Astyanax mexicanus: one gene and its partner. The protein of the gene in region 2 purifies or fractionates together with the protein of the main gene of each other region. This does not show direct contact. Links are inferred from orthologs where the notes say so. Each region holds a gene or a part of one and is shown on either strand. Other genes may lie near its edges.

The links.
Region 1: the proteins of transmembrane protease serine 6 (region 2) and hjv purify together in Homo sapiens (co-immunoprecipitation; 3 studies listed by IntAct). This does not show direct contact. The link is inferred for Astyanax mexicanus from reciprocal best matches to the Homo sapiens genes TMPRSS6 and HJV.

The regions. Positions count from the first base shown.
Region 1 is NC_064413.1:41,789,798-41,797,998, forward strand, and holds the start of hjv (hemojuvelin), read left to right. Parts: upstream 1-5,053; 5' UTR 5,054-5,276; coding exon 5,277-5,368; intron 5,369-8,201. UniProt on the Homo sapiens protein: Acts as a bone morphogenetic protein (BMP) coreceptor. Through enhancement of BMP signaling regulates hepcidin (HAMP) expression and regulates iron homeostasis.
Region 2 is NC_064412.1:32,159,598-32,167,259, forward strand, and holds the start of transmembrane protease serine 6, read left to right. Parts: upstream 1-4,508; 5' UTR 4,509-4,918; coding exon 4,919-4,996; intron 4,997-7,662. UniProt on the Homo sapiens protein: Membrane-bound serine protease. Through the cleavage of cell surface hemojuvelin (HJV), a regulator of the expression of the iron absorption-regulating hormone hepicidin/HAMP, plays a role in iron homeostasis.

The DNA of each region.
Region 1 (8,201 bases), on a different chromosome or scaffold from region 2:
GAAATTTACCAGCAGTGACAGATTCTTAAAAACATATATTCAAATAATCTTTCATGCATAGTACAGTGATTTATTTCATTTTTGCTGCATGTTAAAAAATTAAACAAGATATTTTACACTATCTGTAGTAAAATGTACAGTTGTGCCAGTGTTCTTTATATGATATTCTTTATATTATATCCTTGATATGCTTACTGTTGAAACGGATCGTAGAAATTTATAAAAATATATATATTTTTAATAATATTAATAATATTATTACATACCACCTTCGCCCTATCTGACCTATTAATAATCTATCATACTGAAATCAGCCACAGGGAATGAAAGGATTTAGCTAGACTGGGATAAACATTGAGGCTACCTGCTGTCCAGTAGTGTTAGAGAGCACATGGTCAGGCTGCGTGGCTCCAGAAGAAGTTGTTAGGTCCTCGTGGTCTGGGAGGCCGGGACGAGTGCAATATTGGTGGGAGAATGGACAACAGTGCACCGCACCCCGTGCCTGCCAGGCCCCGGGACACACAGAGCACATGGGGCACATGAGGCAGTAACTGGGCACATGGGCAGATAGATGTGCAGTGTCCATCTGGAAGAAAAGAATCAGAACAATTAGAGTGGATAAAAAAAATATGTATTTATTTACTTACACTTAAAAAGTATCAAAACATTATTAAAGTGTTTTATGTACAGAATAATTTATCATTATTATTTTTATTTAACTGTGATGGATTAAGGCCTGCTTTTTAAGATTTTTTTTGGAGGGAACGCATGGTGGGCGGGGCATGGAAGTGGCCACGCCCCAGATAAAAAAAAAAAACATTTAAATATATAATTCTAAATCATTTTTAAATGTAGATGTGGAATAAAGACGTACATATAATCTTACTATAAAATAGACAAATTCGTTAGAATAAATAATAAAAATAAACAATATAATTCTATTAAAATTAGCTAGCGTTAGCGCGTACAGCACGTATTTCGGCGTGCCAACGTGCAGCGCAGTGTTTCCCGGACAACAGGTTGCCTAGAAACGTCGTAGCTGGCGAAGAGCCCGACCAAGCATTAGCATGGAAAAGTTAACTAGCCAACTTTCCCCCAAACAGGCTAAGCTAACGGCTTCTATACCTAACCAGCGCTCAGTTATACACCCACAACAACGCCGAATGTCTCAGACTCGAGCTAAAGCTAAAGAAAAACACAAAACAACGCTGAGACTCACCGACCAAAACACGCCAACACACGGAGAGGGAGAGGAACTGGCCACGGAGCTCCTGCTGCTGCTGCTGACCACCGCGCTCCTCCCTCAACTTCACAACTCAAACTGCTCCACACCAAACACAACGACACACGGCTAATAACCGCGTGTTTCTCAGCGCACAGCCGCTTCCACCTCCGCCATAGTCCGCTTGCACGCTTTTGGCACGCCTGCAACAACGAGGTTTCGGTTCTTGCCTTTCTTTCCCCCAAATCTCCCCGCACAATAGGAGTCCCGTCCCGCAGAGCCCCGCCCCCATCAGCGCAGTCAACAAAGAGTGCTCAGTGGAGCAGAGAGAGAGGAAGAGAGAGAGAGAGAGAGAGAAAGAGAGAGAAGTTGGGAGATAGAGAGGGGGACAGAAGTAGGGAGAGAGAGATGAAAAGAGAGAGGGTGAGGGAGAGAAAGGGAGGGTAGGGAGAGATGAAGAGAGAGAGGGTGAGGGAGACAGAAATAGGGAGAGAGGACAAGGGAGGGAGAGGGTGAGATAGGGAGGGAGAGGGTGAGGTAGGGAGGGAGAGGGTGAGGTAGGGAGGGAGAGGGTGAGGTAGGGAGGGAGAGAGAGAGAGCTGTAGAAGAGGAGGGGTGAACGGGAAAAAATAGCTATAATGTAGTGTACCAACAAAATAATTCATGAAGTGTGTCAAATAGTAGCACATCAGTGCTGAGTTCACATGGTTTTACTAATTGATGGATGGATGGATGGATGGATAGATGGAGTAGTGGGATCAAGTGAGTGAGTGGGTGGGGTGTATGTATGGATGGAGAGATAGATGGATGGTCAAATATGTCTGATTTAACACGGAGCAACAACAAATATGTCATTTGTTAATACCTATACTGATTATCTGGTTAAAGTAAACAGTGTAGTTCTTAGTTCAGTTGAAATCAGACTGCGGTTCAGTTTCAGTCTTGGTGTGATTCATTTGGACACCTTAATCTGACTCAAAGGTATACTAAAACAACTGCACCAAGACCACTGAGAGAAGATGGGGTCCATCAGATCTCAAACAAACTCAGGAGCAGTTTATACAATACCAGTCAAAAGTTTGGACACACCCCTTCTAATTAAATGATTTTCTTTCTTTATTTTCTACATTGCATTTCATATATACATATATAAAGTATTGAAGATAATTAAACTCTGAAGGAATACAATATGGTAGTATGTAGTAAACATAACATGGAATGGTCCTCTGACGTAAAGACGTTCTCAGAGATGCTGTGTACTTGTTGATTTTTTTTCCCTTCACACTGCATTCCAACTTCATCTAGATTTTGAACTAGGTTTAGGTTTAGGTGATTGTAGAGGCCATAAACCTTTTTTTTGTCTATCACATAATTCCATATGTGTTTCTTCATAGTTTTGATGTCTTTAGTAATAAACTACAGTGTAGAAAATAGAAAATTGATTAAAAAAAAACATTAAATGATAAGGTGTGTCCAAACGTGACTTGTATTATGGATGTATGGATGTATGGATGATATGCATGTTAATGTATTTTTGGATTATCAATGAAACTGAGCTAAAATAATATACAATATATTGACAAACCTCCATTTATAAAAAAAAAACAACACTAAAAAAGATTTTACTGTTATTTACAAATTTATATATTTAAAATAACTGATTTTTTTTGTTAATAACTGTTAAAATTCCATGTGTCCTGGATTGCCCATTTCATGTCTGTTTATATCTTGACCCAAATGAGTCCCACTCTCTTCCACCTGTGTACCACAGCAGCCTTAGGAACAAACTACGGAGGTTAGGGTTGGGTGCTGGTGTAGGTTTCTTAGGTTATGTTTAGGAGTAGGTTATGGATGTTAAATTTAGATTTAAATGGAAATCACAGAAATTAGGATTAATGTAGCTGTAAATTAAAGAGCTGTAGTTTGGTGTTAGATGTAGGTTACTGAGGTTTTAGTTTCAGGTTAGTGTTATAAGCATTTTTTATGAGCAGTTGTAGGGTAAAGGTTCAGTTGGAGTTATGCTATAGTTATATAGATTAGGCTAAGTTAGATTTAAATAAGGATAGGGTCGATTTAGCATTACTTTGTTACAACAATACAACAATAATAGGTGGTTCTCAGTAAAACAGACATTTGTGTAGGTGGAGGGCATTTGAGCTGTGTATGTGATGTAATTATCACTAACAGTAAGAGGCACTTTAAATCACTTTTTGCTAGATCTGATATTAGAATGTTCATGATAATGCAGTAAACACACTACAGGGCTGGATTTGTTCTGGTAAATAACTTTGGAGAGTCTGTGAATATTAAACAGATTTTCATGGATGTATGAATGTTAACTGTACTGCACAATACGTTCAGTTCAAAACACAAAGGTCATTATCAGAATACAGGGTCTCAAAACCTAAAAACAATGATTTAACTACTTACAATTATATACATATATTTATATTAAGGCTTTAGACTACACAAAAATATTTTTTCCACAGCTTAATCTCTTTTTATATTTATTTATATTTTAATTCTTGGCCTGGTTCTGTTTTAAAGATATGTTTTAATTTTCTAAAACAATTTTAATTACCATGATTTTACTACAATAAAATAAACAGCTAAAGCTTTATCTCAGCAAAGAGGTATAGAGACAATGTGATATAATATTAATATTATCAGTTGCTAAACATTATTCATGCATTCAGTCCCTTAAAAAAGAAACATTAAATTTATGAAAAACAATAGAACATTCCACTGGTTATTTTAATTACTTAATATTGCATATTAATATAATATTAATGATCTCAAAATAATGACTTAATATTGCAAAAGAAAGACCTGTTATCACAAATAAATGTTAGTATTTCAAAATAATGATTTTACATCTCAAGACATAATATCTGAAATTAATAACAATATCTCAGAATAAAGTCTTGCAAGATAACTATATAGCATTTAAAAATATTGCAAAAGAAAGACCTGGTATCACAAATGAATATTAGTATTTCAAAATAAAGATGATCATGAAAATAGCAACTTAGTATCTCAAAATAGTTAGATCACAAATAGCAGCTTTTATATCTGAAAATAATTAGATTGCATCTCAAAATAACAACTTAGTATCTCAAAATAATGACGTAATATTGCAAAAGAAAGACGTGCTATCACAAATGAATGTTAGATATACCATCAAAATAGCAACTTAGTATCTCAAAATAGCTAGATCACATCTCAAAATAACGACTCTCAAAGTAATGAGATAACATCTCAAAATGAATTAGTATTTCAAAATAAAGATAAAGCATCTCAAAATAGCAACTTAATATCTCAAAACAGATCACATCTCAAAATAACGACTTTGTATCTCAAAGTAATGAGATAAAATAAAGATATACTGTAGCATCTCAAAATAGCAACTAAGTATCTCCAAATAATTTGATTGCATCTTAAAATAATGACTTTGTATCTCAAAATAATGATTTAGTATCTCAAAATAATGAGATAGTATCTCAAAAGAGAAAAAAACTAATGGTGCTGGATTTGTTTTAATTAGTGGAAATGGGTTTCTATAGGTAAACACACACTTCTCACACTAAACTGAGACTTTTCTCAAGTGTAGGAAAACAGACACACGTGCTGCACAGACTGAGAATGGTAGCCTCGCTGCTGCTGCTGCGCGTGGAGCAGTCAGGTGAGTCTGAATACCTGTTTTATTCACCGAATCACTGCTTTAAGATAATACAGGTCATTAACAAACACTCAGCCCCCCTGTGAGTCGGGAGGGGGTCTGCAACAGCTCGAGCTGCTGCTGCTGCTCTGGTTAAAATAGCCCTCGCGAGCCCTGCTCTGCTCTGCTAGCTGTTCCTCTGCGCGCAGCTGTCGCGCGCGTGGCAGGTGCGCACTGCGCGTGAGGAAACCTCACACATACACACATACTTACAAACACTCATTCCCACACACACACTAACTCACACAGATACACACACACACTAGCACTGCTCTACTTACTCTCTCTCTCACACACACACACACACACACACACACATATACACACTCAGTTTGCATGCGTACAGGTGAAGAGCAGAACCAGTGCGTTGGTGGATATGAAGGGTTCCAAACTGGTGTAACGGAGCGAACAGTTCACCATTACCAGAGGTAAGTTCTGAACTGCTGATACTGGTGTAGTCAGTCTTCCATACTGGCGCGTGACTGCTGGAAACTGGGGCTTGTTTGGACCAGGTGCACTCTTAAAAATAAAAGTTCGACAAATGTCTATTTAGATTTTATATAGAAGACGCATAATTGCTTATATAAAGAAAAAAACATGTTTAAAATATGTTACAGACATTTGGATGTCTAAAAAACCTGTCTATCATAAATATTCCACACCATAAATGGCAGAAATGAGACTTTTAATATAGTTATTTAAAATTTGTAGGTGTAGTCATAAAAATAAAAATAAAAATAAAAATAAAAATCTATATTTTAAATATATACACAGCTCAGGCATAACATTTTGACCTCTTCCTTGTTTCTACACCTATAATTAATTTGTTCAACTCTTTGTAGTTCTATAAGAGTGTAAATTGTAGTTCTTATATTTCTACTTTCTACTTAATTGTCCTCCTTTTCATCCAGATCTTCAAATGGTCAGGACCACACAGAACCACCACAGACCAGCTATTTTTTGGGTGGTGGATCATTCTCAGCACTGACCTGGTAAAAGTGGGTTGTTCTGACATGAGTGGATCAGATACAGCAGTGCTGCTAAAGTTTTTAAACACCTCAGTGTCACTTCTGGACTGGGATAAGAATGAAGAACCTTTAGTAAAGAACATTTAAATCAATTAAAGATTCTTTAGAAATTTAAATAGAACAACAATGTCTGTAACAGTGATGTGTAAGTGTAAAGAACCTGTGTGTTTGGAAATAACTTTTACATCAAGCAAAAACCATTCATATTAGTTAACATTGGTAAAACATATCCTCTACATGAAGAGAAGGGTCTTTAGACCTTTAAAATGTTCCTTACACACACACACAGATCTACTACAGGTGTTTAATGGAGATGACAAATATCTCTGTGTCTGTTAGGACAGTGTGTATTTCTGTGCACTAATCTAAGATCAGACCTCATCTGCCAATGCTGTGATGTTGTGTGTTGTTTATAAAATTCAGCCTGAGCCAAGAACAGTATTTTTTATTGTATGAAGTTTGTATAAAAAGTGGTGTATAAAACAGGCCCAAAACCCTTAACATACCTTAAATGCGATGATAAAAAAATAGTAGACATACTCCCCTCATTTGAGATGACAGTGAGCTAGCTGTGGGCCCTAGTGGAACTGTGTTGATTTCTAATGTTAAGAAACCATTTATTTTCATCACATTATAATTTTAGCTTCAGCTGGATATCCATTATGGCATGCAAATATATACAGCAGGGGAGCTTCCAGATGTGCGTGTATGTGTGTTTTAACTTTGTAGGACAACCAGAGACAAAGAGGACCATACTATATCAGCACCAGCAAATTTAACTTAATTTTGGGATGTGCTGTTTACATAAAAAAGGTTTTATTTGTACATTTTAAAACAATTTATTTTTGTTTGATTTTAAAGATTGGGTGTAGGCATAAACAACAATATATACATTTCATATGGTGCCTGTAATAAACACAATATGTCAATTTTTTTGTGGGCATCCCTTCTAATGAATGCATTCTGCTATTTTAAGTTCCTCCCACTGTTGACACAGGTGGGCAAATGCTTACACATAACTTGCCTAGTAGATTGTAGAGTACCACAAATAGAATGGGACTCTCTGGAGCAGATGAACATAAACTTAATATTGGGTCTAGAGCAATTGTTATTGTTTGCAAAGAGCAATTGGGGCTACAACCTCAATTGTAGTCCTGCACAGACTCTGCCCTGCAAATTATTGTGGTTTCTCTGCTTTAACATGCCCACCGCCATTCTGAAAGCTTTTGTTCATTAACTTATTAGTTAGTTCAGGAGTGTTGGAAGAAGGGAAAGCAATAAAAGTCCAGGGCAGGGTGCCTGTGTTGAGAAACCCTGGGCTAATGGGGTATAAATCCCACTGACATTGAGATGTGGAACTGTGGATCTGTGTTCTCTGGAATGATGGAGCTCCATCCAATACTTTTGGGATGAGTTAGGGAGTTGTGGATGAGGAAGGGTGGTGATTATCCAACATCCTGGTCTACCTAACACTTTTTTGCCTAATGCAATCAAATTCGTACAGCAGTACTCTAGTACAATTGAGTAAAAAACCTTCTTAGACAATAGAGACAGTTACTCAAACAAAAGCAGTATAAACTATTGTATACGCTCACAATGAATATGCAGGGGGTTCAATACTTGTGTCAATAAACTATGTATCGTCACTGACACAAAACACAGGAGAAGAAAAACTTAAAAACAAAACTTACTTATCATAAGTAATTCTGGAGCTTTTCTATTTGTCCATTCATTGTGCAATTTGAAAACAATGTAAAGAACATCTGCTAGATTCACATTATGTTAAAAAATGTAAATGTGTGTGTTTCTGCTATATATGCTACATATGTTAAAATTTAGTTAGTTCTAATGGTTTCCGGAAGGGGTTAATTACAGTAATGTGTGAGTGCATGTGTGTGTGTGTGTGTGTACACCTGTGAATCAGACACTGCTGTGACTAGTAGGGGGAGAAACCCAGTGTTTGTCTGAGAGCATCTATTGTTTACTTTGTTGTTTCAACATCTCAGTGTCGTCTCTGTGTTCTGAAGCTAGCGGTGCTCCTCCCACAATGCTTAGAGTATCTACAGCTATTTTGTGAAAGTACATGCTCCAAAATACACAGCTAAAACATTCTCCACACACACACATCCTAACAAAGTGATGAAAGTGGACAAATGCGAGGTGCACAGGCCATTCACAAGCATTAAGACCCTCCATAGCAGAGAATGTCAGAAATAGCTGGGCCATCCTGCAT
Region 2 (7,662 bases):
CAAAGAAATGAAGAAAAACATTATGGAAGTCAGTGAATGTTACTTTTATTGACCAACCACAGGGAAAAAAATATGGAATCACTCAATTCTGAGGAAAAAAGTATGGAATCATGAAAAACAGATAAACAAAAGATGATTCAAAATACATCACCAGTATTTAGTTGCACCACCTTTGGCTTTTATAACGGCTTTCAGTCTCTGAGGCATGGACTTGATGAGTGACAAACAGTATTCTGCATCAATTTGGTGCCAACTCTCTTTGATAGCAGTTGCCAGATCAGCTTTGCAGGTCGGAGCCTTCTTGTGGACCATTTTTTTCAATTTCCACCACAGGTTTTCAATTGGGTTGAGATCTGGACTATTTGCAGGCCATGACATCGACTGAATGTGTCTTTCTCCAAGGAATGCCTTCACTGTTTTTGCCCTATGGCACGATGCATTGTCATCTTGGAAAATTATTTCATTATCTCCAAACATCTGTTCAATTGAAGGGATGAGAAAACTGTCCAAAATGTCAATGTAAACTTGTGCATTGATAGAAGAATTAACCACAGTCATCTCCCCAGTGCCTTTGCCTGACATGCAGCCCCATATCATCAAGGACTGTGGAAATTTGGTTGTTTTCTTCAGGCAGGCCTCTTCATAAATCTCACTGGAACGGCACCAAACAAAAGTTCCAGCATCATCACCTTGTCCAATGCAGATTCTTGACTCATCACTGAAGATAACTTTCATCCAGTCATCCACAGTCCATGATTGCCTCTCCTTAGCCCACTGCAGTCTTGTTCTTTTATGTTTAGGTGTCAATGATGGTTTTCTTTTAGCTTTCCTGTATTGAAATCCCATTTCCTTTAGGCGATTTCTTACGGTTCGGTCACATACATTGGCTCCAGCTTCTTCCCATTTATGCTTCATCTGTTTAGTTGTACTTTTTCGGTTTTCAAGACAAATGGCCTTAAGTTGCTTGTCTTGACGCTTTGATGTCTTTCTCGGTCTACCAGTACGCTTGGCTTTAACAACCATTCCATGCTGTTTGTATTTGGTCCATATCTTGGATACAGCTGACTGTGAACAGCCCACATCTTTAGCAACCATGCGTGAAGAGTTGCCTTCTTCAAGAAGTTTCACAATCCTCTCTTTTGTTTCAAGAGACATTTCTCTTGTTGGAGCCATGGTTCTTGCCACTCTAATTCGTCCAGCAGCCCTCCAAGGTGTCATGACTGCAGGTGTTTTTAACTGCAGACTAACGAGCAGATCTAATCTGAGGCAGGTGTCCATTTAGGGAAAGGAAATTGACTGGGTGTGTCCTTATTTTCTACCTTCAATTTGAGTGATTCCATACTTTTTTCCTCAGAATTGAGTGATTCCATATTTTTTTCCCTGTGGTTGGTCAATAAAAGTAACATTCACTGACTTCCACAATGTTTTTTCTTCATTTCTTTGAGTGTTCCTGAAAGCCAACAAGTTGCACTTTGGAATGACCTTATTATTGTATCATGTTTTTGATCAGAGTTTGTTTTACAGAATGAAATGTCTGAAGGAGTGCTCATCCAAGACTGGTGATTCCATACTTTTTGCCAGGGGTTGTATGCCAATGTGGGGCCTGTATGGGGTACCAAAAAATCTATCTGTGTGTTGCACAATTGAGAACCAAAAAAATTGTTTACATGTTCTACAAATATGTGTCAGTGATGTGCATTATCAGGGTCAGTGATGGGACCTAGAGAGGCCTAGAAGGGACCCATGTGAGATTTCATGTAAAATACTGATAGAGAACCAAAACAGAGTGAAAAGCAGAGTGAAAAAGTGAAACATGTGTGTAAGAGAAACAGCATAAGAGAGAGAAACAGAGTAAAAAGATGAAACAAAGAATGATGTTCAGTGCCCTCATGATTGAAAACGCATCACCATAGTGCCCTCTAGAGTGGGAAAAAGAGTCAAAGTGCCCTATTGGCCTTGTTGGATAGGCATTTTGGGCAGACACAGTGTGCTCTTTCGCAACAAATGATGAATATTAATATGTGCCCATCAAAGGGTGCCTGCCCTTTAGCCCTACCAATGGAAAACAGTACTGTTATAAACAATTTTTTGTTTGCCTCTGCCCTTTAAATTGTGAGTCTGCTACTGGGAGAGAAAAAGTGGGAGTGTGAAACAAAACACAGAAGTGAGAGTGAGAAAAAAAAGTAAGGGAATAGCAAGAGCTAAGTCAAACATTAAGTCAAACAGTGAAAAAACTTAGAAAAGAAACAAGGCAAGCAAACAAAGAGCAAGAGAGAGAGAGAGAGCTAGAGAGAGGGAGAGAAAGACTGTTATAGAACAAGAGAATTTCTGTACTAAATCCTGTCTGTGTGCATTTGCAGTTCTCAACCAATAGACTGAGACTCAAACTCAAACTAATAAGAATGATTATAAGTTTGTTTATGCAATCAGTGCTTGAATAAAATATTGTCACCCTTCTCAATAATTTTTTTTTTGCAAAATTGATTTTTTATCTGGCCTTTTTCTAATGGACCTAAATCATCTCCTCATGATGCTGGTCAGCTGTGGTAAAATTGCTTTTTAGAATAATAGTGAATGTCAAGAGTGTGATTTAAGCTCATTTATATGCTCTATTCACCTACATCTCCTACCAAAACGAGGCTGTGGGGGACGGAAGTAGCGTTGGACCGCTGGGTACTAGCAATGCCGCCTCATTGCTGCGTTCCCAAATTCTTCAAAAAGAAAGAAATCCTATGAAAGGTCAAACTTTCCACAGTTTCCCCAAAGATACCGAACTTCACGGTGAAGGATTCACAAAATCAGTAGAGATTATCATTTCAATTTAAGATGTATGTTACTGAGCTAGCTAGCTAGCTAAGCCTAGCCATATTAATGTTACCCAGTCAGCCAATTTAGCCAGATGAATGTTAGCAGAGAGACAGCAACTAGCTAAACCCGGTTCTCCGGCTATTGTTTGATTACCCCTGAACTGGTTATTTTCTCGGTTTAATTCCAAAACTAGTTATTTTCATGTTTGATTTAATATTACATATTAAAGTGGACACAAATGTAAGTTTAAAACACTTTCCAAAATTGTGTTTCTTTAAGACACTGGTTGGCATGTGAAAGTTGAAGAAGGATGCTGTGCCCATATGTTATTTTTCAGGACAGATTGTTCAGTGAAGCCTGTAAGCAGGACTGTAGTTGTATAAACTACAAAGTAGTTTTCTAGTCACTAATTTAGTAACTAGATAGCAAGCTAGCTAACACGCAAGTTTTTAATAAAACAAACAAAGGCAATTACCTTGCTACGGTACCTTCCGCAATAATAGTTGTAGCCTTTTAGTAAAATAGCCAGGAAAATGCACTTATTTTCTGCCAATTTTTTTTACTCTTTTCACCGTTAATTCAGGGAGGTATGCGAGGTTAGTTGTCCACACATGCGGTGCCATTTAGACTGGTGGACATTCTGTCGGCTCCCTTGCTGCCTTTCTGGTTTAGAAACGGTTTCGTTTCAACATGGGCGCGGAGTGAAGGTGCATTAAGCATAAGTCAAAATAAAATGTGACGATTTTATTAGCTTTCCAAGATGGAGCTATCTTTACTGAACACATTTCCACGATTCAGGGCGCATCCCCAATCGACAGTTTATTTACAAGATTTTCACTATAATATAAAATTGACTTACTATTAAGAAGGGTGGTATAACATTATTTGGATGGTCTATTATAAATGCCTCATAAATACTAAAGTTTAAAGTGAAAGTAAATGATTCTCTGTTGAATGTAAACCTACTAACCCTAACCTTAACTCTAGTCTTAACATTTTAGGATTATGTCTAGGGTTAGATTTAAAGTTTAGATTACGGTTAGGGGTCAGGGTTTTGAATTGAGTCATAGTAGAGGTTAGGGTTTGGGTTGGTGTTGGGTTAGTTTCTGCAAAGAATAATTTACACTCATCTAAAAATTCAGTTACATTTATTAGATTGAGTTGAATGTTAGTTGAGTATCTATGAGGCACCGATAATGTACCATCCAAATAAAATCTATATAACCATAAAGGCTACAGGTTATATATTGCATAGTTTTATTTATTTATTTATTTTTTGGTCACCATTTTTGTCACAAAATAGCAAAGTCAATCAAGTTAGCTAGAACTGCTCTTCAATTTGTGTCTGTTAAAATGCTAAAATAGCAGTTTTCTGTCTTTTCAATTAATATTTTTAATAAATGTTGTTTGAGGATGATTCTGTTTGGTTCTACTTCTGAACTTTATGATAATCTACCCTTTTAAACCAAAGTACTCATTTTTAAATAGCCAAAACTACTGTAATTTGTTTTTGGTGTTTGCTGAAAACCCCAATTACTTTGTCGATTATTAAAATAAACTGTAAATAAACTGTAATTCATGGTTATGGCCACTAAGACAACAGAATAAGCCAATTTGTGGTGTGAAACACACTGGCAGACTAATAGGCTATTTTAATCCAGTCCCTGTGGACCACTACCTGCTAAGTGTGCAGTCCTACACCTCAGTGTTGCTAGGTGTTCACTCTTGTGTCTCACACATCCTCCAGCACCTTTTCTCAACATTGGACCAAACAAATAAAATCACCTACCTGCTGCTCAGTACCTCCAAATCCGCTCTGATGCTGTTAAATCCGCTATTAGCGAAGCTCGGTTGTGGAAGCAGCTGCCAGGCTGTTGATGAAGAAGAAAGGCAGAATATTGATCTAAGCTGCCCTTTGGATCTGTAAACATGCTGGATTTTGAGGCTGCGCTTCTGTTTTTCAGAGGCTGTAAGGTTTGCTAACATGTCAGGACACAGTTCGCCCCAAAGGATTACAGATTTTGAAGACTGAATAGGTCTAGGTAATTTCATGACTCCCGGAGTGGACTGAGGATATTTTTAATGGAGATGAGTTGATGAGTCTGGAGTCATGGAGCTCAGGAATGGCGCTCAGGAGCTTGAACCAGTCTACACTGTGGACACAGCAAGTGTACGCTTTCCAAATCAGGTATTTACCTTTATTAGCTAACCTACAGGTTATCAGGAGCAATATGTTATTATTCATTTTTAGATTTTAATTTAAAATGAAGAGTGTTTATACAATTATTAGTGTTATTATACGATTGTAGTGTTAGCTTATATCACTACACCAGCAGAGATAGCTAACAAGATAGCTAGTGTTAGTTAACCTAGCTAGCTGGCTGGCTAAATGTAGCTAAGCTAAAATAGTTTTAGCTAAGTTATGAGATTTCTCTTAAATATTTAAGTGAAAATAAACCAAACCCACTTCCCCCCAGTTTCTAAAGTGTAACATTAAAACAATACAGCATGTCATATTTTATCATGGTTAGCATATTAGCTTGTTGCTAGAGAATTAACTAGCTAGCTTAGCTAGTTTGTACCAAACATCTCACCTAGCTAGCTTGAGGCTAAAGGCTACCAAGGGCTAGCGAAATTTCTTGTGTTTTTTTGTTAACATCATCAGAGCACTAAAAAGCAATGTTTTCTTATGGTTGCACAATAATTGAGTATTGCTATATATGATGGTAGAAAACTTTTTTATATATTTATTACAATATCTGTCACTGACTATTATTCATTACAAAGTATGTAACATAAATTAACCTAAAATTATTCAGATTATTATCAGTTTGTGGTTTTATATAATTCATGTTGCAAAATATCATAATTATTATCATTATCAAACCACAAACCTAAATATATTTTATTGAGATTGAAGTGAAAGTCCAACAAAAATGTAAAAAAATTAATTCAAATAAAAATTTGAGACATGCAAAAGTATATAGCTCTCCATATCAATACTTAGTAGAGCCACCTTTCACTGCAACTACAGCTGCACGTCTTTTGCGCGTCTAGAGACTGAGATTTTTACCCATTCTTTTTTGCAAAATAGCTCAAGCTCGGCCAGGTTGGATGGAGAGTCTGTGAACAGCAATTTTCATGTTTTGTTTAACAATAGGGATGATGTGATCAAAGCACCCCATAAAAAAGTTAAAATTTAGTTTTATCTGACAACTAATGTTCTCTATCAAACCACTGAGGCCTTTACAGAACAGGTGTATTTATACTGAGACTGTGAACTGTTCTGAATGCAATTGATTGCATTTGATTTTATTTTGGGGGTTCTGAATACTTTTGCACATCACACTTGTCAAATTTTTATTTAATTACATTTTTTGAAAACCAGTGTATCATTTTTGTTCTACTTCATAGTTTTGCAGTAGGCTGCTACTTTGCGTTGGTATTAGAGGCCGACCGATCGATCGGCCAGCCGATTTAATCGGCCGATTTTTGTTATTTTTTTATCAATCGGCATCAGCCGATTTTCTTATTTGGCCGCGCCGATTTTAATCCGGCACATCTGCGGGCAGCTACTTGGAACGCAGCGCAAGGTTTCAAGAGTGAGCAAGACTTTCAACGGGTAAGGCATCCATTTTTACAATCCAGTGTCCCAAAGTCTATATTTTCTCTCATGATTAGTAATCTGTGATGTTGCTTCATTTACTGAAAAAGAATAGAATTTCAACTGCATCGGTGTTGTAGCATTTCTCTCCAAACGAAACTATGCTTAGCGTTGATGGAATGCGCCCTGACTATGCAAGGCAAGCCCTATCTATAAGCTCTAGTATAAAATAACTGACGTCTCTTCTTCAGAAACGAAAATCTAAGTAAATAAAATCAAATTAACACTTGATATTTTCAGTATTTAAATTATTTTTAGACGAAATGAAAAAGGGCAGGACTAAAACTGTTTAAGGATATTCGCAGCATCAGCTGCGCTGAAATAATAATTACTGGTTAGTCAGGATTATTAGAGGACTGTACTTCTCCTTATATATAAATAAGCTTTATTGTAAACGAATTAATAAAACAAATAGTTTCTAAAATAATGGAGTTAAAATAAAACATCTCTTTTTCCTTCACTACAAACAGACATTAAATCATGCCGCCTCCTGCTGTTCTGCTGTAAAACTCACCCGTTTAAAGCGGTTTGCGCTGTTAGATATTAAATGAAACGATGAGCAGAATTTTCTGTTTTGTCGGGTTCTACTTTAGAACCCCCTCCAGACTTTTCTGATAAAAGCTCATTTTATCCTGAACCTATAAAGTCCGCGCTCTTCAGCTTTCTCAACTCATTTTCCGCTCACGCACCGAACCTCCAGTACAGCTGATGAGACGCGTTTCTCTGGCTAAGGAGCTCATTTGAAGAAGAAAAAAAAAAACAGATAAAGCTATATTTAAATTACAGCACCTGTCTGTTTTTGCATTATTTATAATTTTATTCTTAATTTAAACGTCACCCATTTTTGTAAAATAATAGCTGCAGCCCTAATGTGAACATTTTATAACATTGTCCTCCCATGTCCATTCGTTTTCAACTGCATGGAGTTGAAGAAGAAATGAGCTTTGCCGTTTTGGAGTAACTATCTAAAGTTGTCACATTATGGAAGTCTTCTTGCACTCTGTTAAACATATTAAAATGAATAATTAATAGACTAACAGACTGCAACAAGTCATACATTTGTTAATTAGTAGGCCCCTACAGTAAATTTTATATAATAGCCAACATAATATATAGTGTATATAGAACATATGTTATATAATGAATAAAATAAAATGTTATGGATAATACAATCTAAATAAAATTAATAT